Linked DNA regions of Macaca fascicularis. The protein of the gene in region 1 purifies or fractionates together with the protein of each later gene. This does not show direct contact. Links are inferred from orthologs where the notes say so. Each region holds a gene or a part of one and is shown on either strand. Other genes may lie near its edges. The genes, in order: PTPRU, CLGN and GOLIM4.

What was found.
Region 2: the proteins of PTPRU (region 1) and CLGN purify together in Homo sapiens (affinity purification with mass spectrometry; 3 studies listed by BioGRID and IntAct, with this or other methods). This does not show direct contact. The link is inferred for Macaca fascicularis from reciprocal best matches to the Homo sapiens genes PTPRU and CLGN.
Region 3: the proteins of PTPRU (region 1) and GOLIM4 purify together in Homo sapiens (affinity purification with mass spectrometry; 3 studies listed by BioGRID and IntAct, counting the BioPlex papers as one, with this or other methods). This does not show direct contact. The link is inferred for Macaca fascicularis from reciprocal best matches to the Homo sapiens genes PTPRU and GOLIM4.

The regions. Positions count from the first base shown.
Region 1 is NC_088375.1:205,695,010-205,704,760, reverse strand, and holds the end of PTPRU (receptor-type tyrosine-protein phosphatase U), read left to right. Parts: coding exon 1-77; intron 78-2,642; coding exon 2,643-2,768; intron 2,769-2,901; coding exon 2,902-3,059; intron 3,060-4,521; coding exon 4,522-4,657; intron 4,658-4,924; coding exon 4,925-4,987; 3' UTR 4,988-6,125; downstream 6,126-9,751.
Region 2 is NC_088379.1:145,564,920-145,575,105, reverse strand, and holds the start of CLGN (calmegin), read left to right. Parts: upstream 1-4,402; 5' UTR 4,403-4,616; intron 4,617-5,223; exon of another isoform or gene 5,224-5,307; intron 5,308-10,186. UniProt on the Homo sapiens protein: Functions during spermatogenesis as a chaperone for a range of client proteins that are important for sperm adhesion onto the egg zona pellucida and for subsequent penetration of the zona pellucida.
Region 3 is NC_088376.1:79,489,945-79,499,842, forward strand, and holds the start of GOLIM4 (Golgi integral membrane protein 4), read right to left. Parts: upstream 4,928-9,898; 5' UTR 4,289-4,927; coding exon 4,102-4,288; intron 3,834-4,101; exon of another isoform or gene 3,733-3,833; intron 1-3,732. UniProt on the Homo sapiens protein: Plays a role in endosome to Golgi protein trafficking; mediates protein transport along the late endosome-bypass pathway from the early endosome to the Golgi.

The DNA.
Region 1 (9,751 bases):
TCTGGCGACTGGTTTACGACTACGGGTGCACCTCCATCGTCATGCTCAACCAGCTGAACCAGTCCAACTCCGCCTGGGTGAGGCCTCCACTGGCCAGGCCGACGGGCCACCTGCTGCCCAGGTCCTCTGTGTATTCAGCGGCATGGTCCCCAAAGCCAAGAGTTGGGTCCCAGTTCTGCCATCTATTTATTGTGTGACGAGTCATACACCTTCTTAGAGCCTCAGTTTCCTCATCTGTAAAACAAGGGTGTTAGATGGGAGACCACTAGTTGCTCTTTTTCTTTTCTTTTTTTGAGACAAGGTCTCACTCTTTTGCCCGGGCTGGAGTGCAGTAGCGGGATCATAGCTCACTGCGTTGTACAGCCTCAACCTCCTGGGCCCAAGCCACCCTTCCACCTCAGCATGTGGAGTAGCTGGGACTACAGGCTGCATCACCACAGCTGGCTGATTTTTTTTTTTTTTTTTAAATAGAACCACAGTCTCACTATGTCGCCTGGGCTGGTCTTGAACACCTGGCCTCAAGTGATCCTCCCACCTTGGCCTCCCAAAGTACTGGGATTACAGGCATGAGCCATTGCATCTGTCCACAGTTGCTCTTTATTGGCCCCCTGCTAAGCCAGGGACTGCTTTGCACTCATGGTCTTATTTAGAATCTATAATGACCTTGGAGGGAAGGCTTCAGTGAGAAAATTAAGACCCAAAGACGTACAGTGCTTTCTCCATGGTCACATGGCTGGGGAGGGGCAGAGCTGCGCTCCCCGGCCTCGGCTGCCTCATTCCAGAGCTTCTGCTCTTTTAGTCACTCCACTAAAGCGCCCTTCACGGGGGCCTCCGAGGTAGAGTACAACTGAAGCCTCCTACTTTCTGACTGTTTGATCTAGGGTAAGTTGATGGACCTCTTTGAGTTTCACTTTCCTTCTCTGTAAAATGGGGGCCATCATAGGACCTGTTCTTAAGGGGTTACTGTGAGGACCAGGTCAGGTGTGCATAGGATGCATGGCACTGCTGTGTCTGGTGCACAGTAGGCATGTGGTACGTGTAGGCAGTAGGCAGGGACAAAGATGATGAGTGTGACAGTTGCATTTGAGATTGGCCCAGACACTGGTTCAGTGACCTCAGCCTGGGGGCAGCCCCACTGACTCCCCCATTTCCCTTTGGAGCTCCCAAGAAGTACAGATACCCAGCCTTCCAGCCCTGCCTGACCATGTGCTGTAGGTCTCTGGACCCCTTCCCACTCCGGCTTTCTGCTGGGCTCGAGGCTAGGAAGATTTGCTGTAAAATGAGTACAACAGCTTCTTAATGGCCTCCTGGAGAATATTTCATTAACTGGGCTCTTTATGCATCAGGCACTTTGTGAAAATGACCCAGGACTACAGGGTAATGGGCCTCAGCCCTGGGTGTAGCAGGAACCATCCTTGCTCGGGTAGAGGGGAGAGGCCCAGAGGGAGGCTCACACAGACATCATTCACTGGGCACTGATTTGCTCATCTGTTCAACCAACTTTGCCCAGGAACTGCTCCCTGCAGTGGGCAGGGAGGGGACAGAGGCAGAAGAGACACAGCCCCTCCCAGATCTCCTGGTCCAGGAGGAAACAGGTAGAAAAACTGATAGTGACAGCACAGAGGGAAAAGGGCTTTCAAAGAGCTGGCACAGGGACAGAGAAACCCAGGGGACCACGTATCAGCGACAGCTTCCTGGAGGAGGTAGTGTCTGACCGGAGATATGTGGGAAGGGCAGAGTTGAGTAGCTGAGGAGGTGGAGGAAGAGTGACCCGTGGAGAGGGAGCAGCCTGTGCAGAGTTCTGAATGCACCGCGTTGCCGGGACCTGAGGCAAAACGGGGAAGGTGGTGGTCTCCTGTCATGGGCTGTGGTCAGAGGGGACTGATGAGCATGGTGTCTTTTTGGAAGAGGTTGGGAGGCATTTGACAGATGGAGAAACTGGGGCCAAGAGAAAGGAAGAGCCTTTCATGGGCTTCAGGCAGAGCTAAGACTAGAAACTGAGGCTCAGGATACTTAGCCTGGAGGATGTGTGCGCGCGTGTGTGTGTGCACGTGTGTGTGTATATGTACGTGTGTGTGTATGAGGTCGGAGGGCTGTACCTCCTCTGTCCCTCCACAGTCGAGTCTGGGAGGGGGTTGTATGTAGAACCCTGACTCCATGGAGGGGTCCTGGGGCAGAAGTGGGAGTACCGGACTGTGTTGCAGCATCAGGGACACCCCACCTCTGGGAGCTGGTGCTGAAGGGCAGAGGCAGTGAGAGAGAAGGCTGGGGGAGGTTCTGGGGTGGGTGGGAGTGATCCAGGCCTATTCCTGGAAGCAGGCAGCCTCATGTAGGAGCGTGTGAACCGGTTAAGGTGTAGCTTTCTAGCTGCACAGCAGTAGGCATCAGTGCACTGTTTGTGAAGGGTTCGTCTTGGCTGATCTGAACGTGTCAGTGCAGAACGTATTGGGACAGGTGGGCCTTGCAGCCTGTGGGTGATTGGTGGTGACTGGAGGGCCGCTGAAGGTGAGTCTGGAGTGAGTGGGTGGGCCAGGGTGCGTGGGAGCTACAGGGCAAATGTGGAGCCCTGGGAGTGGGCATGGCTATGGGGTGAGCCCCGGCCAGGCTCTACTCAGCTCTCCCCTCTCCGTGCCCATGCCCAGCCCTGCCTGCAGTACTGGCCAGAGCCAGGTCGGCAGCAGTATGGCCTCATGGAGGTGGAGTTTATGTCGGGCACAGCAGATGAAGACTTAGTGGCCCGAGTCTTCCGGGTGCAGAACATCTCTCGGGTGAGTGGTCTGAGGAGCCCCAGGGAAAGACCCTGGGTGGCGGCTGGGGCAGCTTTTAATGACCCTCCGGGTCATCAGGGGCCCCTGGGACTCTGGTGCTCATGTCCCCGTGGCTGGCTGCCCCTGTCTCCAGCTGCAGGAGGGGCACCTGCTGGTGCGGCACTTCCAGTTCCTGCGCTGGTCTGCATACCGGGACACGCCTGACTCCAAGAAGGCCTTCCTGCACCTGCTGGCTGAGGTGGACAAGTGGCAGGCCGAGAGTGGGGATGGGCGCACCATTGTGCACTGCCTGTGAGTACCTGCCCTGCAGGAGGGCGGGTGGAGGGGTTGGGGAGCCAGGGGCAGAGGTCCAGTCTGAAAGGGTGCCGGCTTTGGCTGGACTGCAAAGCTGGCACCGAAACCCCTGGGCTCTCAGATGGCTGTGACCTGGATGCTGCCCAACCAGCCAAGGCTGGCCCTGGAGGAATCCAGTCAGTTTCCAGGCTATAGACTCAGCCCTGAACAATTGCCTAGTACCCTCTGTGTGATGTCTGACTTTGCCAATTTGAGAGTCCTTTGTCAGAATTTTTTACCCCATGAGATTTTGGCACACTTTTTATGCCAACAGGATACCAGCCTTTGTTCATGCATGCACACATGCGACTTTTTCCATCCATCCATCCATCCATCCATCCATCCATCCATCCATCCATCCATCCATCTGCATACCCCATTCATAAGTTCATGTATTCACTCATGTCTGGGTGCAGTCACTCCCTTGCTCCCCACTTTTTCATGCTTTCAGCACTTACCGAGCCTCTCGAGTGGCAGGCTGGGCCTACTGGAAGTTGGTGGGAAGCTGAGTCAGTCTGGGCCTGGCCCCCAGGGGTTTTGGTTCTTCTGGTGGGAAAGACCCCTGAGAAGGGGAGTGAGGGCCGCCTCAGTCTGCCATCCCCCAGGAGGCACCCCACACATGGAGTCACAGGGAAGGAGGGAGAGGCACAGAGGGGGTGGAGCTCTGTGGGAGGCTGTGGGCTTGACTTGGGGTGTGGGTACGTTTGTGCCTGTGTGCCCACGTTGCCAGGTGGTGACCGGTCTTCTCAGCGTTCCTGTTCCACCTTGCTCTCTGGGTACGCGCTTGCTGCTACCCAGCCGTTCTTTGTCACTGCGTTTGTCTCCGGGTGTTTCTCTTGGAGTGTGTCTGGCCTCCTTTCTCTCAGAATCTGCAGTCTGTTTCGCCTTGAGAACATGTTTTCTGAGATGCCCTAGCCCCTGATCCTCCTTAACCTGGTCCTGCTGGTCACCTCTGGGCCCTCTCCTCCTCTCTCTGGGTTCCCTAGCCCCACCCCTTACCTCAGGGTCCTCTGCCCCGCCCTTCTGAGTTCCCTAGTTCTGCCCCTCACCTTGGGCTCTTTGGCCCTTCTTAGTTTCCTTGCCCCGCCCCTCACCTTTGCACTCTTCGGCCCCTCCTTTCTGGGTTTCCTAGCTCTGCCTCTCATTTCCGGGCTCTTTGGCCTCTTCCTTCTGGGTTCCCTAGCTCCGCCCCTCTTCTCTAGGCTCTCTGGCCCCTCCTTTCTGTGTTCTCTAACTCCGTCCCTTACCTCTGGGCTCTCTGCCCCACCCTTCTAGATTCCCTAGCTCCGCCCCGCTCCTCTAGGCTCTCTGCCCCTCCTTCGTGGTTCCCTGACCCTTTCCTTACCTTCAGGTTCCAAGGCCCCACCCCTCACCTTTGACTCCTGAGCCCCGCCCCAAACCTTTTGCATCTCTCATTCAGAAATGGGGGAGGACGCAGTGGCACCTTCTGCGCCTGCTCTACCGTCCTGGAGATGATACGCTGCCACAACTTGGTGGACGTTTTCTTTGCTGCCAAAACCCTCCGGAACTACAAACCCAACATGGTGGAGACCATGGTGAGGGGCTGTGTCCCGTGCCCAGCCACTTCTACCTTCCTGGTCCATGCCAGGCTGGGTTCCTTAGCAACCACTCTCCCATATCTGGGCCCCACCATTGGGCCTTGGTTCTAGCCCTGTGGTCCTAAAACATTACCCCCATTTCCCCCTTCTCCCCGAGGGCGGGCCTGGGCTCATGCTTGCCCTCTCGCTCCCCGTTCCCACCCCCGCCACAATACTGGAGTCGGGGTCAGGCTCATGATTTCCTCCCTCTCTTTCTCTCCCCAGGATCAGTACCACTTTTGCTACGATGTGGCCCTGGAATACTTGGAGGGGCTGGAGTCAAGATAGCGGGGCCCTGGCCTGGGGCACCCACTGCACACTCAGGGCCAGACCCACCATCCTGGACTGGCGAGGAAGATCAGTGCCTCCTGCTCTGCCCAAACACACCCCCGTGGGGCAAGCATTGGAGTGGATGCTGGGCCATCTTGCTGTCCCTTCCACTGTGGGCAGGGTCTTTCACTTTGTCCTATGGGCAGGTCGTTGGCCAAGGAGGAGCTTAGCAAGTCTGCAGCCCAGCCCCACCTCCATAGGGTCCTGCAGGCCTGTGCTGAGAGGCCTGGCACTGCCTGGCAGAGTGACAAGGGCTCAGGACGGCCGGCTCTGGGGTACTCAAGCCAAGCCCCTTGGCACCGTCCTGGCCTTTGGCAGGGTTGAGTGAGGCCCTGCAGAGAGTATCCCAGGCCAAGATTCCCACTCAGCCTGCTCCCTCTGCAGTGGGTAGAGGGTGTACTGGGGCTTGGCATCTAGGATTCCATCTGGCACAGCCTCTGAGGGTCCTGGGGAGGCAGGACTCTGTTCTGAACAGCCAGTGGGGCACACTGACTGTCCTCCCCAGGGGAACTGCAGTGCCCTCCTCCCCACTGCTCCCTGCAGCCCCTGGGATATTTTGCTCACTCTCCCTCCCCACTTCTGCTTCCCTGATATGTGCTCTGAGCTTCCCTGAACCAGGATCTGCCGATTCCTGCTGTGCCCCACGGTGGGCTCCTTCCCTGCGTGACCCACTGTTGCAGAATGAAGTCACCTCGCCCCCCTCTTCCTTTAATCTTCAGACCTCACTGGCCTGTCCTGCTCAGCTTGGGCCAGTGACAATCTGCAAGGCTGAACAACAGCCCCTGGGGTTGAGGCCCCTGTGGCTCCTGGTCAGGCTGCCCATTGTGGGGAGGGGCAGTGCTAGAGCAGGGCTGGTCATACCCTCTGGAGTTCAGAGGAAGGAGGACCAGTGCTTTTTTGTTTCTTTTGTTATTTTTGGATGGGTGGTTGGGAAGGTCTCTTTAACATGGGGCAGGCCACACCCCCATTCTGTGCCTCAATTTCCCCATCTGTAAACTGTAGATATGACTACTGACCTACCTCGCAGGGGGCTGTGGGGAGGCATAAGCTGATGTTTGTAAAGCGCTTTGTAAATAAACGTGCTCTCTGAATGCCACAGAGCAGCCCTGTGTGTGTCTCACCAGCCTGATAGGGCCTGCTCACCTGCCCCCAGCCTCCAGTGCAGTGGGAGGGCCCTGGAGAAGCCTGGGTTCTGATCCAGTCCTGGTTTTTCTATTTGTAAAATGGTGGGAGTGTGGACCAGGACATCACTCAGGGTCCTTCCACTTTCAGAGTTGGTTCCAAGGGACCCTGGCCATTGTTGCCCCCACCCAGGCCTCTGAAGCAGTTCCTCAGGTAGGGTATATCAACCTGAGACCCCTGAGGGCCACAGAGCTGCCTCTCACCCCACTGGGGGCCCTGGATCAGGTTGAGCTCTTTCTGGGGCAGCATGGGAGGCTCAGGCTGTGGTGTCAGGCAGATGGGCCCAGCAGCTGCGAGACCCTGGGTGAGTTAGTGCCCTCTCTGGGGCCTACTTTATCATCTGTAAAGTGGGGACAGTCCTGTTTGGATCAGATGAGGTAATGATTAAGTGCCTTATGCAGTGCCAGGCGCATTGAAAGGGCTCACTTTACAAACATGGCAGAGATGGGGGCAGAGGAGACACAGCCCTGCGGAGGATGACCGTCCCGTTGCCCCAGCCCAGGCCATTCCCAGCTCCAGCTGCCTCATGGGGTAGAGAGGGAAGAGGAGCGGGCTGGCTGGTAGGGACCTGGGTCACTCCTGGCTCTGTCACAGACTTGCTGCCTGACCTTGGACAAGAGAATTCCTGTTTCTGGGCCTCAGTTTCTTCATATGAAGGCTGACTCATTCTATTTGCACACTGGCTGACCCTGTGTGCCTCAGTTTCTCCACTGGTCAGAGGATACAACCCATTCTAATGACCTCACAATTCAGCATACTTTAATCTGAGTTAAAAATTAATTGGCCAGTTAGGATCACACTTGACTGGGGCACAGACTGACCCCTCATCCTCATTCTGAGCTGACCTCTGAGCCTTACGTGATGGATCACAAATGTGTGTCATGGGTACTGGCCCAGTGATAGAAAATGACTTGCTCTGCCCAGTAGCATGGGCAGAAGTGACGGCACGTGAGTTCTGGATCCTGGGTCTCATGAGGCCTTGCGGTTTTTGCTTTCGCTCTTCTGGAACTCTGCTATACAAGGGAACCTGTCTCACCTACCGGATGATTTGAGGGCACACAGAGGAGAACCAGCGCATGCCATGAACAGTCAGTATCAACTCCCAGGCTGTGAGTGAGGCTGTCTTGGACCTTCTAGTCTAGCTGACCTGTCAGGTAAGTGTAGCCCCATGGCTAAGCTTAGAAGACACTGCCCAGTGAGCCCCTAGAACTGGGAGAGACGCTAAATGGTTCTTTCTCTGAAGACGGTCTGTTGGAATCCCTTGTTACATACACAGTTAGCTTTCGCTGATACACGCGTGTGGAGCAGTCTGGATGCGGCTCGGCCCTTTGCTCTGTTCGGTGCTGGCTCCTCAAGGGCAGGGAGTGTTTCTGTGCCATCTTGTGTCCATTGCCCAGTAAGGGGCTTGTCTTGGAGCTAGTGCCCTGGAAATGTTGGCACGAAGGATGGAAGGAAGGAGAGGTTGGACTTGCCTGCCCGACTGACCAGGGGCATCTGGCCTCTCAGAGGAGCTGGGGAGGTGGGCTGTGTATTAGGAGGAGCACCAGCTCCAGAACCCGCAGGACAAGTCCCGCCCCCAGCTCCACACCCCACAGTCGGGTGACCTTGCACAATCCCCTAACAACCCTGCAATAAACACAACAGGACCTATCTGCAGGATTGGTTGTGAGGTCTAGGGACAAAATATTTAAAAAGAGCCAGCGTAGTCCTTAGTGACATAATTGACCCTCAATAAAAGGCATCTCATACCATAATACTGAAGCCCCTGGATAATGAAAATGGTGACGGTCACCTTTCATTTTGTGCCTATTCCTGTGTTGTGTGCCCTACAGCCTTTATCTCTCCCTCACTCCATACAGCAGCTCTTTAAAGTGGGGATTCCTACCCCTTCAGTTTAGAGATGAGACACGGAGGCTCAGGGAAGTGAGTTTACTCACCCAAGGTCACCTGGCCAACATATGGCAGAGCAGGGACTTGAACCCGTGTTTAGGCTGACTCCACACCTGGGCCTTTATCTGCTCCGCTCTGTGGCTTCCCTGGGGTCAACAGCCCAAGGATCCCCTCAGTGCAATGTCAGATGGGGAATTTGTGGCCTAAGCACTGCTTCCCAAATGCTGTGAAATGTGTCAGAGGTGGTGGCCTCTTGGACAAGGTGGCCTGGAGCACAGGAAGATGAACGGTCCAGCCGGGTTCTGTCCAGGGCTCTGGCTGAGCAGGTGTGGGTAGAAACCTCCACCCATCCAGGCCCCAGCAAATAAGATTTCTACAAGTGCAGATAGGCCGGCTGCCTGTTACTGCCAGAAGCTAAGTTGTTCTTTATGCCATAATAAATCTTGCTGTAGGAGTCAGCGAAAGCAATGATTACTTCTATGACCTCTCTGCTGGTCCCTGATTGGGACGCATTATATATTCCAGGCACCCAGGAGATGGAGCTGTGTCACTGATGGATGCCAAGGCCATTTGCAAGGCCCTCATTGGGAGTGGGGCCTGGCCACTCTCTCTCCCTGGGCTCCAGGGACCTCCCCCTGCTGACTTCTGATGGACAGGAGTTTAATGAGCTTTGGCCTCAACACCCCCATGGCTTTAAGGGCAGTGCAGAAATAATGGAGTCATTGCATAGTCAGGATCAACAGGTTCAAGTCAGGCAATGAATAGCCAGTTGGTAGAGGATGAGGGCTTTGGATGTGGGGATGTGAGAAAGCAAAGCTCTATTCGGCACTGAAATGCACACTGCTCAGTGCCCTCTGTAGACTGTCATATGTCAGTCTCCAGTTCCACCTGTGAGGTGGGTACTGTGATCATCGCCATTTTACAGATGAGGAGACTGAGGCTCAGAGAGCTTAAGCAACTTGCCCAGGTCAGAGAGACAACAAGGTCACACAAACAACAGCAACCAGTGTGATCCTTTGAAAAAACAGGGCAGATCCCGTCACTCACCTACGGAAACCCTCCAGTGCCTCCTGCTGCTGTGTGCATGAGCTCTGCACTCTTGACCATGACCTCTGAGGCCCGCATGTCCTGGCTCCACCCTCTCTGTCCACGTCCCTTCTGCACGCTCCTGCTCACTCCAGGCTCTTGTTCCCCCATCATTCTGAGCTCTTTGCATGGACACATTTCTCCAGTCCTGCATACCTGGCTCCTGCCTGGTGTCCAGTCCCCAGATCAGATGTCCCCTTCCTGAGATGCCCTCCCTGAATACCCTGAGTGGCCTTCCAGCAACCACTGCCCCTGTCCCTTTCAGGGCCCATCCTGTGTCTGTCCCTCATTGCTTTCTCACAGTGGGTGATGAGCTTGTTCATTCACTGGGTATTTGTTCCCACCAGACTGTGAGCGGCGAGAGGCCAGGGCCATGGAGGTCTTGTCCTCCTGTGTCCCTTGCACTAGGCATGGTGCCTGGCACATGACAAGAACTCAATGAGTATTTGTTGAATGAATGAAAGTTGCAGAGCTGGGGCTGGAGCTCGGGTCTGTCTGGCTCCAAAGCCTATACTCTTAAGCACATCATTTTTAGTCCTTGGATGACCACATGGCTTGATGTCA
Region 2 (10,186 bases), on another chromosome or scaffold:
CAAGGACTCTGGGTGGGGGGTTCTGGCCCCACATTTCCCTTTGTCACTGCCCTAGCAGAGGTTTTCCATGAGGCCCCTGACCCTGCAGCAAACTTCTGCCTGGGCATCCAGGCATTTCCATACATCCTATGAAATCTAGGTAGAGGTTCCTAAATCTTAATTCTCAACTTCTGTGTACCCACAGTCTCAACACCACCTGGAAGCTGCCAAGGCTTGGGGCTTCCACCCTCTGAAGCAACAACCTGAGCTGCACCTTGACTCCTTTTAGCCATGGCTGGAGCAGCTGGAACACAGACCACCAAGTCCCTAGGCTGCACAGAGCAGGGGGGCCCTGGGCCCAGCCCACAAAAGTGTCTTTTCCTCCTAAGTCTCTGGGCCTGTGATGGGAGGGACTTACATGAAGACCTCTGACATGCCATGGAGATATTTTCCCCATTGTCTTGTGGATTAACATTTGGCTTCTTGCTACTTATGCAAATTTCTGCAGTGGGGATTTTCATTTCTCTCACATTGTCAGGCTGCAAAGTTTCAAAACTTTTATCTTCTGTTACCCTTTTAAAACTGAATGCCTCTAATAACACCCATGCCACCTTTTGAGTGCTTTGCTGCTTAGAAATTTTTTACACCAGATACCCTAAATCATCTCCCTCAAGTTCAAAGTTCCACAAATATCTAAGGCAAGGGGAAATTGCTGCCAGTCTCTTGTTATATGTGCTGTGCAGTATGGATTGAAAAATTTACTTATTACATGTGAAAATTCAATTGTACCACCACAATTTGTTGAAAAGACTATTCTTTCTCTACCAACTGCATGTATACCTTTGTCCACACTGTCTTAGTCTGTTTTGTGTTGCTATAACAGAATACCTGGGACTGGGTAATTTATAAAGAAAAGAGGTTTATTTAGCTCACAGTTTGACTGGCTGGGAAGTTCAAGGACACGGCTCTGGCTTGTGGTGAGGCTTTTGTGCTTGGCCAAAAGATGGCAGAGAAGGTCAAAGGGGAAGCAGAGCATGCAAAGAGGGAAAATCCTGAGGGGCACCTAGCTTTATAACAAGCCATTCTCATGGGAATGAATCCAGTCTCGTCGGAGCAAGAACTCACTCACTACTGAAATGGCATCAAGCCACCTACGAGAACAGGACCTTCATGACCCAAACACCTCCCATTAGGCCCCACTTTCCAGCACTGCCACACTGGGGACCAAACTTCAACATGAGTTTTAGTTGGGACAAAGCAACCATATCTAGGCCATAATACATACACATGTAAGTCCATATAGAATCTATTCTGTCCCATTGATTTGTCTTGATACTAATATTCTTTGATAACTCTTTGATAACTATGACTGTATATCATTCTATAAATCCTGAAGTCGGGTGGCATTTCTGGGGGGCTTTATCTTGAGACACAAGATAAAAATTCAGCATGGGCTCATTCTGCCAACTATATAGTTTAACCAGACGAATTCTGGGAAAAACCAGGAACAAAACAACGATGACTATTGTCATTACTATTATTTACTATTGTTTGATATTTTTGTTAAAGCAATAAGGGAAAAAACCTCAGAAAATAAGTATAAATATAAGAAAGAAAAGATTATTTTCTGCCATAGACATAATTATACACCTTAAAAATAAAAATCAACCCACTGGAAATACTTGTGGAATACTTGTTTCCTTTTCTCTATTCTCTGCACCATTAAAAAGCACATTTCAAAATATATGAAACTATACAAACATTTTAAAGTATTATTTGAATTATCTAGGCTCTGAGTCCCTTCGTTGTATTTGAGTTAAAACTTCATTCTACATAGTTCTTTAATCCTGAGAATCAGAGGCATTTCCTATATTCTGCATTTTTCAAGTGGCAAGGTGTTGTGGAAAGAGTACAAGCTTTGAATCCTCACTCTACATTTTAAGGCCTGTGTGAATAAGTTATGTAACTGATTGGGGTCTATTTCCTTATAAGTAAAATAAGGATGATACCTGTGGGTCAACTGCATATAACAACTTGCACATAGTAGACCATTAATAAAACACAGCTCTGATTTTGATTACAAAACAGGCTTCCAACAGGACATCACTCTGTTCCATCAAGTAGCATGAAACTTTCTGCCTCTTTCTGTTTGTTTGTTTTGTTTGAGACAAGGTCTCACTGTGTCATCCAGGCTGGAGTGCAGTGGCACTATCTGGGCTAACTGCAATCTCTGCCTCCTGGGCTCAAGCCATTCTCACCTCAGCTTCCCAAGTAGCTAGGACTACAGGCATGCACCACCATGCCCAGCTAATTTTTGTTGTATTTTTTGTAGAGATGGGGTTTCATCATGTTGCCCAGGCTGGTCTCAGGCAGCTCAGCTCAAGGGATCTACCTGCCTCAGCCTCTCAAAGAGCTGGGATTACATGCATGAGTCACCATGCCACGTCACCTTTCCTGCTTTTTATGTTTTTCTAGATTTCTGATTACTCTGGTCCCTCCAATCTTGATTACATCGCCTTGGTCTCTTCCCAAATCTCTCTTCAACTTTGATGTGTCAGAACACTTCACAACTCTACCATTCAGCATTATCTTCTGAGACTCCTCCCCTTGTATCATTAAACACTACCTCATGCTCAAAAAGTCATACCCTGGTCTCATTTTCAGATTATTCTTTGACATTATTATCACACTGTATTATTCTGATGAAAAGTTGCCTATTAAACAAAATTATAAATATTATATTCAATCATCCTTTCAATAAGTGGCAGATAATTTTGGAAATATGTTAAGACCTTAAATTTCAAGGTAACAGATTAGATTTCATTCTGTGGGTAATGAAGGGTCATTGGAAACTATTGAATGAGCTGAGGATTCAACTATGAAGTGTAGGTGGGAGGCTCTGAAGGGGGGCAACTAGTTAGACAACTCTGAGCAACAGTTTCTAAAGGAGTGAGAATGTAAACTAGAGAAATGGTACAGCAGCTGAAGGGGGTGAGGACCTCTTTTAGATGATTTTATGGAGATAGAGTTTAATTTATGGAGGCAGTGAAAGTAGCAGCCAAAGAGTAAAAAAAAAAAAAAAAAAAAAAAAGTTCTCAAGGTTTTGAGTACTATGTGACCAAGAAGATACTACTAAATCTTACAAAAATTCACTATTCTTACATCTTTAGTTTTCAGCTTCTTCATTGCAAACTTTGAATGGATCCTTTAAAAAAATCCTTCTCTAGCAGTTCAAGTGTATTTGTTATGGGCCACAGAAGTATGTTGAATAATAGAAGTCAGGATGGAAGAAAGAAATAAAGGGTATAATATTGTTACAAAGTATCTCAAATGTCTTTTTAACCAGTAAATTTTAACACTATCCAAACACTCTCCCAGAGGTGACAAAGTCAAAAGTTTAGAAATGCTGGTCTTAATTAGTAAAGCAATGTGAAAAAAAACTCAGTGATCTTGACCCCAGCCAATAATGATACGGTGTGCATGGAATGCCACCAGTCCTTCAAGACTGAGACTCTTCAACAAGGGTGTTAGTCTCACAAGTCAATCAAACGTTGTTAATTAATCTTCTGATAAAATTAAATTGGTATTATACCAAATTCAAAGTCAAGATTTACTGTAAAATATAAGTAGTAAAAGCTGAATGATCCAATATATAAAAGGCAAAGCAGCTTGTGATTGAACACTGCGTTTATGCTGTAGTTTTATTTCAATGTGATTGAAACTGCAGGCTCTGGGAGAGACAGACCTGATTTACATCCTGTTTCCACTGTTTACGGGTTGTGTAACTTCGAGCAAGTTATCATCAGTTTCATCACCTGGGTTGCTATGAAGGTTAAACAATGAATGTAAGCCCCTTAGAGCACAATGAACACAATAAATGTTAGCAGCTCTTATTAATAGTGTTGTTGGAGAGAAAAAGAACATATTGTTTTATATACAATGTATTTATTAACATTTAACATATCTGTATTTGTCATATACACACACCAGACAGGAAAGCTCCTTATTAATCACCACGACTGCAGATCTGTTAACATCTAGAACTCTAGAGAAAGCCTAGAGCCCTAATCTTGCTGCACTTATTACTGGACGTTGTTCATAAATATGATTTACATAAAATTCAGGACCCAAGCATTGAGCAACAGGGGGTAGAACCGCACGGTCTGCAGAGAGGGCGGGCGCTCAGAGAAGGAAAACTCTTCAGACTTGCAGGAGGAATTCCTCCTCGGCTAACCCGGGAGCGGGGCTCACTCCACAACCGGCCGGCGGCGGCACAGGCTCGCTGTGCGGCTCCCCCTGGAGGCGGTTGAGCCCCTCGGAGCAGGAGCGCGCAGCACGCGCCTGGGACAGCCGCCGCCTCTCGCCCGCCGCCGCACGCGCATGCGCGGTTAGTAGTCGCTGCTGTGCGGCCGCCAGCGGGATTGGTCTGAAGAGACGCGGGGACCAAGTGGCAGCGACTCGGACATCTGGGCTGTCACTGCCGAAAACAGGCCACAAGAGAGGTGCGTGAGCAGCAGGCCGCGTTTCCGCTGTCCCGCTGCCCTTTGCGCGCGGATTGGGGTGAGGAAGCGGATCATTGCTGCTTCCCCAGGCACCCAGTTATTTTGCCGCCAGAGGGCTGAACCGGTCCGGGCCAGGTGAGGGTGGATGTTGAGTCTGGCGATGGGGCTGCAGCGAGCTAGGGTCTTGACTGGGCTCTGGCGGCCCCGTGGGTGGACGCAGGGGATCGGTCGCTCCTTTTGTGTCTCCGGCACCGCGGCGTCCACCTGCTGCGCCCGGGCTGGGGCGGACGGGTGCCGGGACAGCTAGGTTCCCTGCCCAGACGGCCTCCCCTGCTGGCTTGAGGAGCCACCGGGAGCCGAGGCCGTTATCCCAGCGGTTGCCATTGCGGCCCCGTTCCACGCTCGAGCCCCGGGGCGCTCTCCCAATGGTTGTGGAGGGGGCCCGGGGCGCGTCCGGGCGCTGCTCACTCCGCTGACTGCTCCTCACAGAAACCCAAACGAGACCAAAATAGGCTCGACTGTCGCAGTCTCCACCTCTGTGGAAGCGAAGCGAACCCACCTCAACGCGGTGGGGCCAAGGACTGTCGGCCCCTCCCTGGATACCCGCGCGGAGCCCAGTGTGCGCCGCCGGGGGGCGGGCGAAAGGGCTGGGTTGAATCCAGAGAGGCCCTAATTACTAGACTCATTATCGCCCCAGGCCTGTTTACCATCAATCAGACACTTTCGCTGATTTTATTTATAGCAGCTGCCCAAGCAACAAGGAGGAGGTGTTTGCTTGGGAGTTAAAAGCAAATGGCAACCAAAGCTCAGGACTGGGAGAGAAAAGGTAAATAATGTGGCCTCGGGAAGAAGTCTCAAATTAGAAGAGGGTTCATTAACATAGAAACTTTTTGTTGCTTAAAAGCAGGCAAAATCCCGATCTCATCTGATGATTTTGCTTGCTTTACAAATGTCGACATCACTCGAGGTAGCCCTCCTTTGGGTCATTGAGAGTTTGACCTCTTTTCAGTTTGCAGTTTGGCCTTCACGTCGTATTGCTTTGATCTTCCAGTCACATTTAGATCTCATCCTCAGAACAAGATTTTCCGTACTCTCTGTCTTAGCTAGTTGATAAGGTTAATTACTGTGTGTAAATGATGTAAATATGTTGATACATCTGTCTAGAAATTGAACAGTGTTGTAAGTTAGCTGTAGTACTAAGTACCTAATAAATATTGGTGTTTTTAAATAGAAAACTAGAATTATGAACTTTAAAGAATCTTTGGATTGTCTAGTTCATGTCACAAATGAGAAAACAGGTGCAGAGCAGTTTTAATCACTTGCCTTTTTAATAATAAAACTAGAAACTTGGTGCGGTGGTGCCATGTTCAGTGTACTTTTTATTCTATCATTCTACGTTGCATTCCTGACGCCACATGAAAACTAAAACTTTAAATAATAGGTGATTGTCAAACACCACTTCTGGGATATGCCAGTGTTGGTCCCATCCTCAGTCAGCCATTAAAACTGAGTAACAGCAGAAAGGCATCGCAGTTATAAGAAATAGCATGTACAGAAGTGTGTTAAATAGGTGTGTTGAGAATGAAAGAAGGCTGGGCGCGGTGGCTTACGCCTGTAATCCCAGCACTTTGGGAGGCCAAGGCGGCCGGATCACCTAAGGTTAGGAGTTCGAGACCAGCCTGACCAATATGGTGAAACCCCGTCTCTACTAAAAATACAAAAATTAGCCAGGCATGGTGGTGCACGCCTGTAATCCCAGCTACTCAGGAGGCTGAGACAGGAGAATCACTTGAACCCAAGAGGCAGAGGTTGTAGTGAGCTGAGATTGTGTCACTGCACTCCAGCGTGGGTGACAGAGCAAGACTTCATCTCAGGAAAAAAAAAAAAAAAAAAAAGAATCACACAAATGTGTCAGAAACATAAAGTGACCATAGTGTTGGAAAAATGGCAACTGTAGACTTGTTCAATGCAGCGTTGCCAGAAACCTTCAATTTGTGAAAAATGCAATAAATCAAAGTGCAGTTAAATGAGGTATGCCTGTATGTACACACACACACACACCCCCAATTGATTCTGCTTCTCTGATTAATAAAATGGCTCTCCTCCAAGTAATGATTCAGGGATTCTGCAACTTTCTACCTTGTAATTCTGCCATTTTCAACCATGATTTTCAAAATTACTTGCATCAAACCAGATGGGGAAAGATCATAAAGAATTATAAATCATAATTATGGGAAGTTTTTACGGGCAAGGGCTGACAGCGGCATACAGGTCTTCTATTTTACATTCTATTGGCTGGAATTCATTTCCCTGGTCACATCTAGTGCCAAGGAAATTACCCTGTTGATCAGCCAGCAATTTCTCCCACATTTTACAACAGATATTACATATCCTGTGATTGTCTTTTCTTTGTGTGCCCTACTTACCTTTGATGTGACAGTGAGCTTTACTTCAATACCAGTACATGAGCTGCACTTTATAATTTGTAATTTGGGGGTGGTAGTGGAGATCCAGTAGGGTTTTTAGGTGATATTGGTGTAATTATTTAAAGTAGACCAGACTACTTGATCTAGATTTCAAAGATTGGGAAGAATGGTATCTCATTCATGGATAAAGTTACTTGTGCTTCAATTTGTTATTGAACTAGCACAGAAGCAGTGCAGAGAACATACATGAGATCAAAGATACGTGTTGGTGCAGAAGGATGCAGTTCTTTAGTGCCTCCCTTCTTATGAAGGCACAACTGATATTTAGTGATCTCAGCAAGCCTCATGGAGTGAGGAATACATAAGAAGCTTGGAACCCTGGGCATGCTACCTTTTAATTTATAAGGAGGGAAGAGGGTGACATTAGCACTAAATGTTCTACCCTATACCATATAAACAAATTCTTGCTGTACTAAAATTGCATAACTTAGAACAACCATACAGATCAATAAAGAAATAGGTAACACCACAAGCCAACTCAATGTAATAAACATATGGACAGCACTGTACCCAACAATAGCAGAACACACATTTTTCTTAACTGCACATGGAACATTCTCCAGGATAGACCATATTAGACCACAAAACAAGTCTTAATGAATTTTAAAAGACTGAAATCATACAAAGTAAGTTTTCTGAACACAAAGGAAAGAAACTAGAAACCAATAGTAGAAGGAAAACAAGAAAAATTCACAAATATGTGGAAATTAAACAGCACACTCTTGAACAATGAGCCAAAGAAGTCTTAAGGAAAGTTAGAAAAATATCTTGAGACAAATGAAAATTGAGAACAAAAGATACCAAAACTTACGGGATACAGTGAAAGCAGTGTTAAAAGGGAAATTTATAGCTGTAAACACTTACATGAAAGACAAAAGATCTCAAGTTAACAACCTAACTTACACCTTGAGGAACTAGAAAAAGATCAAATGAAACCCAAAAGTTAGAAGAAAGAGAGAAATAATAAAGATTAGAGCAGAGGGAAACAAAATGGAAAACAGAAAAACAAGAGAGAAAACAAGTGAAATCAAGAGTTAATTCTTCGAAAAGGTCAACAACAACAACAAAAAATAACAAACCTTTAGTTGGATTAAGAAAAATGAGAGAAGACTCAAATAACTAAAATTGGTAATGAAAGGACACTACATCTGATTCTACAGAAATAAGAGGGATTATAAGAGAATACCCTGAAGGATTGTATGGCAACAAATTGGATAATCTAGATTAAATGGATACATTATTAGAAACACACACCCTATCAAATTTAATCATGAAGAAGTAGAAAATCTGAACAGACCCATAACTGGTAAGGAGATTGAATCCGTAAACAAAAACTTCCCAGCAGATAAAAGCCCAGGACCAGGTGGCTTCACTGGTGAGTTCTACCAAACATTGAAAGAAGAATTAACACCAGTTCTCCTCAAATTTTTCCAAAATATTGAAGAGGAGTAAACACTTCCAGATTCATTCTATGAAGCCAGCATAACCCTGTTATCAAAGCCAAAGTCACTACAAGAAAACTACAGAGCAATATTCCAGATGGTTATTGATGCAGAAATTCTTAACAAAATACTTGACAACAGAAGTCAGCAGCATATTAAAAGAGTTGTATACTATGACCATGTTGGACTTATTCCTAAAATTCAAGGATGATTTAACATAAGAAAATCAGTGTAATATGCCACATTAACAATGTAGAGAGGTGAGAACACATGGCCATCTTTATTCATGCAGAAGAAGTATTTCACATGATTCAACACTCTTTCATAGTAAAAAAAACGCTCAGTACACTAGGAATAGAAGAAAACCACCTCAACATAGTAAAGGCCATATATGAAAAGCCCACAGTTAACATCAGACTAAATGGTGAAAGACTGAAAGCTTTTCCTTTAAGATCTAGAATAAGACAAGGATGCCTGCTTTTTCCACTCTCCCATGCCAGAGAAATTAGGGAAGAAAAAGAAAGAAAAAAGACATTCGAATTGAAAAGGAAGAAGTAAAATTATCTCAGCAGATAACATGATCTTGTACGTAAGATATCACAAACACAATACAAAAATCTGTTAGAAATAATAAATGAAGGCCACGCATGGTGGCTCATGCCTGTAGTCCCAGCACTTTTGGAGGCCAAGGTAGGCAGATCGTTTGAGTCTAGGAGTTTAAGACCAGCCTGCGCAACATGGCAAAAACCATCTCTACATAAAAATACAGAACATTAGCTGGGCATGGTGATGCTTGCCTGTAGTCCCAGCTACTCTAGAGGCTGAAGTGAAGGATCACCTGAATCCAGGAGTGCAAGGCTGCAGTGAGCCATGATGGTGCCACTGCACTCCAGCCTGGGTAACAGAGTGAGACCCCATCTCAAAAAACAAACAAATGAATTCACTAAAGTTGCAGGGTAAAAAAATTAGCACACAAAAATTAGCTGCACTTCTGTATCCTAACAATGAAAAGGAAATTAAGAAAACAATTCCACTTATAACAACATCAAAAATAATAAAATAGGAACAAATTTAATCAAGGAAGTAAAATACTTGTACATGAAAAACTATGAAATGCTGAAAGAAATTAAGAAACAAATATTAATCAGTGGAAAGACATGTTCATTGGGATTAGAAGACTTAATAAGATAGAAACACAACCCAAAGTAATCCACAGATTCAGTGCAATCCCTATCATAATCCTAATAGCCCTTTTTGCAGGAAGAGTAAAATTCATTTAGAATCTCAAGGGACCCCAACTAGCCAGAACAATCTCGGGAAAGAAAAAGTTTGGAAATCTCGTATCTCGATGTTTCAAAACTTATTACAAAGCTATAGCAATCAAATCAGTGTGAGATTGGCATAAAGACAGACATATATATCAATGGGATACAATAAAGAGCCTAGAAATAAATTCTCACATATATGTTCAAATATTTTCTTAAAGTGCCAAGACCATTTTGTGAGAAAGAACAGTTTTCTCATGAGATAATATTGGGGAAACTAGCTATCCGCATGCAAAAGAATGAGGTTGTAACCTTACCTTAAATCACAGACAAAAATTAACTCGAATAAATTGTAAAATAAATTAGAAAGTTCTGTGCATCAAGAACACAACAGAATGAAAAACCTATGCAATGGGATAAAATATTTGCTAATCATGTATTTGATAAAGGGTCAGTATCCAGAATTTCTAAGAACTCCTACAACTCAAAACAAGAACAAAACTTGATTTTTT
Region 3 (9,898 bases), on another chromosome or scaffold:
GACAGCATGTTTTCATTTACAAGTAGGAGCTATACAATGAGCATACATGGACATAGAGAGTGGAACTGGAGACTACAAAAGGTGGGAGGCTAGCAGGGGGGTGAGAGTTGGAAATTTTCCTGTGGGGTAAACATGTTCATTCTTTGGGTGCGCTGAAAGCCCAGACTTCACCACAACTCAATATATGCATGTAAGAAATCCACACTTGTAACTCTGCACTTCTACGGGTCCACATTTGTGACCTTTTTTTAAATTTTAAATAGTTGTAACATATTCATCTGGAATAGGAACATATAAACCTTACAAAAACTTTTTCTTCATGGTTTCTCCTTATCCCTGTAAGTCCAAAAGCATTGCAATACTGTGTTTTAGGAATGTCGGGCTCTTTGCCTCTATGCTAAAAGCCTTTTGTAAAAATTTAAATAGTTATATCTCTCTCCCAGATCTTACAGCACATAATTATTACCTTAGCAGTCACACCCTCTCCTAATCTGATAAGATCCAGAACACAGTTAATCAGTAACCCTAGTCCAAGTTTAAATTGTCAAGGAAGGTCCTTTCTTCTGAGTAAGGTACACTGGATGTCTGCATATTCCTGGATGTTCATTTAAGGTACAATAAAAGAAGGTGGTTAGCTACATAAACAAATTCGGCCAATTTCAAAATTTTTACTCATGACAAACCTGGCAAGAGAAGAAGGGATAAAACAGCTTACCTCAAAAGGGATTCTGATAACAGTTAACTTTTAATGAGCAGTACCTACTATATGCCAAGTACATTCTAAGAGCTCTACAGTCTATCACCTTCATTAATCCTCACAATACCTCTATAAAATAGGTTATTCTAATCTCCATTTTATAAATAAGAAAAACGTGGAGGTTCACACAAAAGGTTTTAGAAGTAGAATTTGAATTACAGTCTAGAAGCCAATCTGCTTTAAATCACATGCTCAGATAAAAAAATTCAAGTGTCTCTGGGGTCAAACAAGTAAAGTAAATGCACGGAGTGGCTCAGTTTTAAGATTATAGAGGTGTGGCTCTCAACCTTGGCTGCACACAGGAATCACCAGGGGAGCTTTAAAGACTATTGAAGCCTGGGTTCCACCCCCCATAGACTGTTATTTAATTGGTCTGGGAGCCACCAGGTGATACTAATGGGCAGTCTAGACTGAGAAACACTGCTTATAGATACAGACAGTGGAGCATGGCTCACTTGAAAGCAGTTTAAAAAAATTAAAGGTTATATAAACACTGTGCTGTCCAAAGATTGTTATTACCTTTGCCACCAGTATGTGACCTCTGCCCTACTCCTCAGTATAATTAAGGTACCCGTATGGGAGATAAATAGATGGCTGATTGCTAAGAGGGAGAGATAAACAGGCAGATATAGATATTTTTATAGTGGAAGGGATTTGCCTAGTGTTTGACCTTTCTGCATGCCATCCCCGCCATCTTCTATTTATGGGGCTCTTCTATAATAAAACTTGTAACTTGGGGTTACAAGTAACACACTTTCAAAGGAATCTATGAAGTATAATGTATTCTTAAATTGAAGGTGACCTAAATATGCTCACTTAACAAATGCACATCACCAGGTTATAGGACCAAACTACTGAAATTTTGAGTCATTTCTAAAAAGACCACTCTTTGTAAAGTAATTAATTCTGATCTGAATCCAAGGCAGGTCATGCAATCCCACCTAACTAAACAAGTATTAAGACTGGAGAGCCTGATGTCCTAAAAGCCCATCTATGCAGGTGGCACACGGTGCTGTTGAGTAAAATGTCATTTGTCTTGGAAAAGGGAAGCAAAAGTTGCATACCATCAGAAAATGTTCATTGAATGGCCTACACATGCGAAATCCAAAATAAATGCTACAGAAGTCAAAAGTGAATCCACAAAAAACAAAAACAAACAAAAAAACTGTAGCCTGCTTGTGAAAAAATTCTTAATGCATAATCATACTGCAAGTTTTGCAGCACCATAATTAAAGAGGAAATGACAAAAAAATAAATTAAGAAATGAACTTTGAAGCCATTTATTCAAATTAGGTAGAACATTTCCATCTGCTGCAAAACAAAAGTTGTACATTTTAATGATCCTGTATTATCATTTACCACCTCTTTTCCCCTCTACCACCACCACCACCAAAAAAAGAAAGGGCAAATTAGAACAGAAATTTCTAAAATTTCAAAATGAAATACTGCAAATAAAGGCCATTATTCAGAAATCAGGGCCTTAGTCAACAATGTCCATCATAGGCCGTTGAGGCAAAGGAGCTACTTGAACAAAATATTTTCTTGTTGTTTTATTTGGCTTTCAAAAAGCAAAGACACAGAAGCAAAGTCTCAGAAAGACAAAAGTGCCTGGGATGAACTTACTCACCACAGTTTCAAATAATTTTTGTTTGTTGTTTGAATAAACACGCATTGATTCCCCTAATGAGTGTCAGGCACAGTGTGGTGCTGGGGAGGTAATGGTGAAAATGACAGCCTTTGCCCTCTTGGGACTCCTAAGAGACCAAGGCACACACAACCTCATATAATCCACCATACATGGCCCTTCCAGCCATGTTTACGAAAATCCAGTACTGTTGTACTATTAGACAGCAAATTTTTCCCTTGGTCTAACATCATGGAACTTCACAGGGAAGCTACTGATATCTTCTAAATAAATAAGTAAACAAATATCCATATTCTCATACCAACAATAACTCATGGGTAAATTTCAATGAGTTTAAAGAAATGTTTTTGAACCTAAGAGTGTATCAAAACGGGTTTTACTTTTGAACCAAGCCCAGCCATGTATTTTCATTGCCTGTGGCTATGCAGCCTCAGTAAGCTAAAAATACTTTTCTTTCTTCTAAGCTGGGAAGAGCAAGTAAGTTCAAGCAATCAGATGCGTATCATTTTCTCTCATCTTAAATTTTTTACTAGAAAACACTTAGAATAACTGAAGCAAGGAAGAAGCATCCGTTTTATATCTGCACACACATACACAGAAACATTCCTCTAGCTTGCATCTATCTACCTAGCAATATTAAATAAGCTATATTTGCATCATCAGCAAAGGCTGCCAACATTTCACTACTTACAGCTATTCATTATTTTTTGGTTGGGGAGAAAGTTGCATAAGTATTGAAAACTAACCACAAGTAAAAGCTTGCAAAAAAAAAATATGTATAGGATACATCCTTAACAAGACGACATGGTGCCGACTTTGAGGTAATGTTTCTGAATTTACATTAAAAATAAATTATGTTTGTGAAAATTACATTCAATCAGATTCTAAAATAGAAGGACACAAACTTTAAGTTCTTCTACAGGTCTTGCTCAAGTTGGGTTTGCTGTGCATGGCAAAGTGAAAACCTGTTTCTCCTCTGACTTCCCGAGCTTACTGTAAAATACATACATGCAGCTCTGTGATAAAGTAAAAGCTACTGAGGAAGACAAGCAAATCTTTTTTGAAAGAAACTACTGCAGGATGGTGAATGGTATATAGTGTGGACTTTTCCCACACATCCAGCATCTCTGAAAACATCCTATTAAATTAAAAGAATAAGAAATAAGAAACTAGCGGGTCCAGATCTAGGTTCCATTCGACTGGGCCATGACTTTAATTAAGCTGCTGGATCATGACTTAATTTTCCCTTGAAAAACAAAACAGTGTGAGAAATCTCTGCCAAACTCTCCATGTTTTAAGCAACTGACAAAGTCAACAAGCAAGCAAATACCTAGAATCGACGGAACAACGCTCCTTAGAGCAGGGCTGGCAGAAGCGGCGGAGGGCTCCTAGTTTCGCTGGGCCTTTGACAAGCCCTCGGGTAAAGGACTCTCTGCACCCGCCCACCAAACGCCCAGCGGGACGATGGGCTGGTGCTACCAAGTTCAAACCTAACCGCTGGGAGGAAGAAGCGGGAGGGTGAGAATGTCATCTCCCCTGACACTCTGGGGCCGGCAGTCCTGAAAAGCTCTTCTCTGACGTCCGTGAAGGTCAGAGGTGGCAACCACAGTGCCAAGAGCTCCCCAAAGCCACTTTTCCTGCCCGGGTGGAGGCGCGGAGCAAAGTTGGCCACCGACTGCGCGCGTCCCGTTAGCCGTACCTTGTAACTGGGCGGAGAGGGACTCCTGGTGCTGCTGGTACTTTAGCGCCACCGCCTCGGCTTTCCGCAGCTGCGTCTGCAGCTCGTAGTAGAGCATCGCGCCGTAGAGAAAGCCGAACACCACGGTCAGCAGTAGCAGCGTCTGGAAAATCCGCTTCTGCTTTCGGGAGCACATCCCGTTTCCCATAGTCCCGCCTGGACCCAACGCCGCGGCCGCCCCCGCCGTCTCCTCCCCTTGGTCCGAGCGAGCGTCTCAGCAGCGGCCGCCGCAGGAGGTGGCCAGACGCAGCATGAGGAGGAGATGCCAGACACAAAAGCCGGCCCGTAGGGGAAGTGGCGCCCGCTCAGCCCCCGCGCGTCGCGGGGCGCGCAGCCATCGACGCCGCCCGGGCAGCTGCAGCCAAACTTCTGCGACGCTCGTTCTCCGCGAATGCCCGGGGCCGGGAGGGGGCCCTCCGCATACTTCAGAGCCGGCTGCCTTCGCGCCTGTCCCCAGATGCCTCCTGCCGTTTTTCCTCCTTCCCACTTTTTGGCCCCGCTGCCCCCGGGCAGCTCTTGGAGTCCCGCCCTGGCAGCTCCCCGCCCCCTCGCGGCGGCTTCCACTGCACGACTTTGTTGCCACCTAAGGGAGGGGGTGCGCGCCCAACAAAGGGACCATGACTCCGGGCCGCGCCCCGGCGCGGCCTGCCCAATGGGTGGAAGGGTGGGGGCCAGCTGCCTCGGCTGGTTTTGGGGACGGCAGAGCGGTGTCACTGACGGGTCGGCTGGAGCCTCTGCCGCGCCGCCACCTCCCGCCCAACTTACGTGTCACCCACGGCCCCGCTATTCTGGCCAACGGGATTCCGGGAGGAAGTCCCACTCGGGCTCCTTGCTCATTGGGCCCGTCCGAGCTGCCGCTCCCTCCCTTCGGGAAGGCAGTGCCGGGCTCGATTGGACGCCCGCTTTGTCCGTCCGACCCCAGGGCCGCGCCTTCCCTCCCAGTGCCGGGGCAGGAGAGGGGCTCTTTGGGCAGCGCTGCCGCCTGGCGCCGGGGTGCGCCCACGTGGAGTCGGAGAGGGTGGGAAGAGGCAGGCGGAAGGGCGGGGAGCTTTGGGTGGGCGGGGTACTTGTCCGGGCCTGAGTCTGGGTGAGGTTCGGTGAACACGTGTGTGTGTGTGTGTGTGTGTATTTGAGTATGTGTGTTTGTGATCCAGTTCTCGGAACGCACGTGGAGAGCGTAGTAAAATGTATGTATGAACGAAAGAATGGATGGCAGTAACTGTGTGCACTCTGCTGAATACAGTTTCTTTCCCTGTCCAATAAACAGATGCGGCAGACACATGGGATAGCTACATAGCACAATCCCGGTAGTCAAACCAGAGATGCTGTGTCGACTGCCTTACCCCATCCAGTGTATTAGCCTAGATGTGTGTGTGCCCACAGATGGCCCGGCAGGAGTCGGGAGACTTGAAGCACGCTAGACTTAATGTTCAGTTGTCCACGTGGTCTGGGGAAATCAGCTTGCCATTGGCAGAAAGGAAAGAAATGATCTCACATTTCTCCTCTAGCTGCAAATAGAATAATTTAAAAACAAATCGTACAGACTGAAATGAGTATCCATTCATTTTGTCATATATATTTGTTTTATTGGTGGCAAAACACATCAGTTACATTTCTAAATTACATTTTAAAGGGCAACAAAGGTTCCCTATGTAAAAACTAGTACAGCACAGGAAAGGTAATAACCAAAAACCTCTTCGAAGAAATGTATACTGCATTTATTTTTTCTGTGTACCTGAGGGGAAAAATTAAGGTTATGCAGAAATGATAATGTTTGTTTCTGCTGTTGATCTGAATTCTAAGAAAAGTAAATTTTATCTGTCTCAATAGTGTGGTGTAATGTATGATACACTGCATAATTTTTATATTCTAACTGGACTTTGGTCGTTACCATTGCTAATGGGCGTGAGTGCTCAAAATGGGGGTAAATCTCTTTAGCTAAATTCAACAGAAAGACAGTTCCTGGTGCAAAAGTTTTTTTAGGTGGACTCTGAAATTATAGGTTGCTAAAGCCATAAAATAAACTGAATTTATAATGATGCTAGTCTGTGGCATTTATACCACTGTAAAAATAAAGTGTGTCTTGCATGTGCTTTTCCTTAATAAATAATAACTTGCATTATATTATTCAAAATACTTTCGTGTACAGATACACTGACTCACTGATCACCGCCAGGGTGTCAGACTTTCATGTTGGTAAAGAAGCCAAAGTTTATCAAAGTGACTATGATAGCTCTAGGACCTTTTAGGTCTTGCATAAAGTTAGTTACTCAGCAAGATTAGAATCCAGATCCAAATCCTGCTCTCTGTCTTTTTCTTCAATAGAAACAATGTTCTCATTCTATTATACACGTTACAGTCAGAAACTGTATCTCCATTAACATGAGAATCTGATTGTAAAAGAAAACAATCTAAAGGAGTTTGGGAGTTTTGTTGTGTAAATACTACATAATCTTGCTTATTATTAAATCTACCACTTTAAATTCCTCTTTTCTAGTTTGACTCTCAGAAATTAAGATTGGATAATTACTGGAATCCCTTTAAAATTCCTCATAACTAAACATTCCTTACTGTTGTCAGAGTACTTTGTTAAACAAACTCTTCCTCCAAAAACACTATCCAAATTTAGACCGGGCATGGTGGCTCACTCATAATTCCAGCACTTTTGGGAGGTTAAGGAGAACAGATGGCTTAAGTTTGAGAGTTCGAGACCAGCCGGGGCAACACAGCAAAACCCCGCCTCTACAAAAAATATATATATACATAAAAATGTAGCTGGGCATGGTGAAGTTCACCTATAGTCCCAGCTACTCCAGAAACTGAGTTGGGAGTATCCCTTGAGCCTGGGAGGTACAGGTTGCAGTGAGCCAAGATCACATCACTGCACTCCAGCCGGGGTGACAGAGGTGAGACTCTGTCTCAAAATAAATAAATATATAAATAAATAAAGTTTATGGCAACAATCTTGCCCCATATTTGAAAAGAAAATTATCCTAGCCACAAAAGAAAAAGAAGTTGTTGGAAAATCATTGCTCATATATTACACAATATGTATTTTAGAATCTTTGGAAAATTCTTATGTTTCCTGAATGTATGATTCATCTTAAACTTCTGATACCTTTGCATGTGATTCCAGACTCCAACGATATTCTTTGCCAATGATATTCTTTGCCTATTCTTTGCCTGTAGAGTCAGCTGCTGGCTGACTCTACAGAACATAATAAATGCAGGCCATAAAACACAACTCAATATTTTAGTCATAAAATTTGAAAGAGCAAAAAGTATTACCTGAACTTATCCATTATTTCAAATTCGAGAAGGGTATGTAGAAGTACATAAAATCACTAATGGTGGTATTTTTATAATATTACATTTCCAAGGTAAAGTATACTGCTAGTTTTCTGAAAATATCAGTATAGAACTTTTGAACAGCCAACATGAGGAAGCTATCCAAGGCCTATAAATTGAATATACATAACATTGCCTTTGGGTAGCAATTGTAACATATGAGCTGTTTATACTGGTCTTGGAAGGTGTGTTGTTTATTCTATTTTTGCTTCTTTGTTATTTTAAAAATAGTATATATAATTATATTTCTATATTCCATATATTTAACAATATATTAAATTTTAAATTGTAAACCCTGAAGAATTTTGCTGATTTAGTATTTTATTTCTAAGTCAGGAAGAAATTAACTGAAAGATACTCCAAGTCTTACATTTGAGAAGGGCAAAGATAACATTTGAGAATATTAATTCTCTCTAACTTAAGAGAATTTGTCATTTTAATCAAATTTGTTCATTTTCAAAATAAGGAAAGGAAAAAATATAAAGTTGAGAGAGACAGCTGACGTATAATTTCTAAAAGTAAGATTTTAAATTAATAATATTTAGGATCCTAGAGTAAATAATTTCTATTGCCTAAATCTTTTATTTAAATTTCTTTACTATAGGTGGAACTCAATATTTTGTAATTTGTAGGAGAAATCACCACCTAAGAAAAGGTGATGAATATTAAACAAAATTTAAAATAGCTTTTCAGTATTAATAAACTAATTTTAACCTTTTCATCTGACAATTACAGAAGTTATTTATCCTGTAAAACAATCTTCACTCTATTATGTCTTCACCTTTTTACCAGTTCATCAGTTTGCTGTCCCCTAATGAATACACTTGCCTTGCTGCTTGCCACCTTTACCTGAGCTGTTTTGAGAGGTAAAGAAAGTTACATTCAAAGTATTATGTCTTTTTGAACATTTTGTGAGAGATGTTTTGAGACACCTTTTTCATAGGATTTTGATAATGCCCTAGTTGTAATTGTTAGAAGATTAACAAACTAAAAAATAGGTCTGGCCAGGCGTGGTAGGTCACGCCTGTAATCCCAGCACTTTGGGAGGCTGAGGTGGGCAGATCACGAGGTCAGGAGATCAAGACCATCCTGGCTAACACGGTGAAACCCATTCTCTACTAAAAATACAAAAAACTAGCCGGGCTCAGTGTCGGGCACCCGTAGTCCCAGCTACTCTGGAGGCTGAGGCAGGAGAATGGCGTGAACCCAGGAGGTGGAGCTTGCAGTGAGCTGAGACCTCACCACTGCACTCCAGCCTGGGCGACAGAACGAGACTCTGTCTCAAAAAAAAAAAAAAAAAAAAAAAAAAAAAAAAAAAAGGAGATCTGTGGCTAAATGCATAACTGAGTAACTGAACCCCACTCAATGTATCTTTGTGCCTCGCTTTCGTCTGTCACTAAGTTGCCACCTTTGTAATTTTCAACTATGTCCGAAGAGGAGGGCAGAGGAGAAAGTAGATGATTAGCTCTTATTTGTAAAAATGCTTTTCAGTGAAAGAAACCTTACCATCAATATCACTAAGAAATACCTTTGGAGGCCAGGTGCGGTGGCTCACGCCTGTAATCCCAGCACTTTGGGAGGCTGAGGTGGGCAGATCACAAGGTCAAGAGATTGAGACCATCCTGGCCAACATGGTGAAACCCCATCTCTACTAAAAATACAAAAATTAGCTGGGCGTGGTGGCGTGTGCCTGTAGTCCCAAGCTGTTCAGGAGGCTGAGGCAGGAGAATCGCTTGAACCCGGGAGGCGGAGGTTGCAGTGAGTCGAGATTGTGCCTCTGCACTCCAGCCTCACCACAGAGCGAGACTCCGTCTCAAAAAAATAAATAAATAAAATAAAATAAAAATAAATAAATACCTTTTGAACACAGACTACTAATAATGTATGTGATTTAGAAGTCCCTATTTGCCACAGAATGTGTAGCTAGTCTAAAGGAAGAGGAACTATCATTTCAAACCTCTAACAACATTCTAAAGCAGGATATCTAGCCAACCTTAAATTTTTCCAAATTCTAAGGCAGTACACGAAATCACTATGAATGTGTTGCTTAATGTTTGTTACAGCTAGCATATAATAAGCTAACTACCACATTGTTTTTTTTCAGTTTAATTTCACAGGATGTTAGAAAGAATGGAAAAGGAGCATATATGAGCCTCAGAAGTGAACTTCCTAAATCTTCCAATGGCTTATCCAACTTCTCACCAACTCACTGCCTTTAGTAGTCAAAGACTTTAGATAAGCAGAGAGACCACAGAAAAGATCAGTGGCCAGGAAAATGTGACATTTTTAATGTCCTCTCTCCCAAAATATTATAGTTTATTGGATTTATTTTTATGAAAGCTATACTTGGTTTACTCATGACCATTTTATAAAATTGGCATTACAATTTTAATATGATATACCATATAGT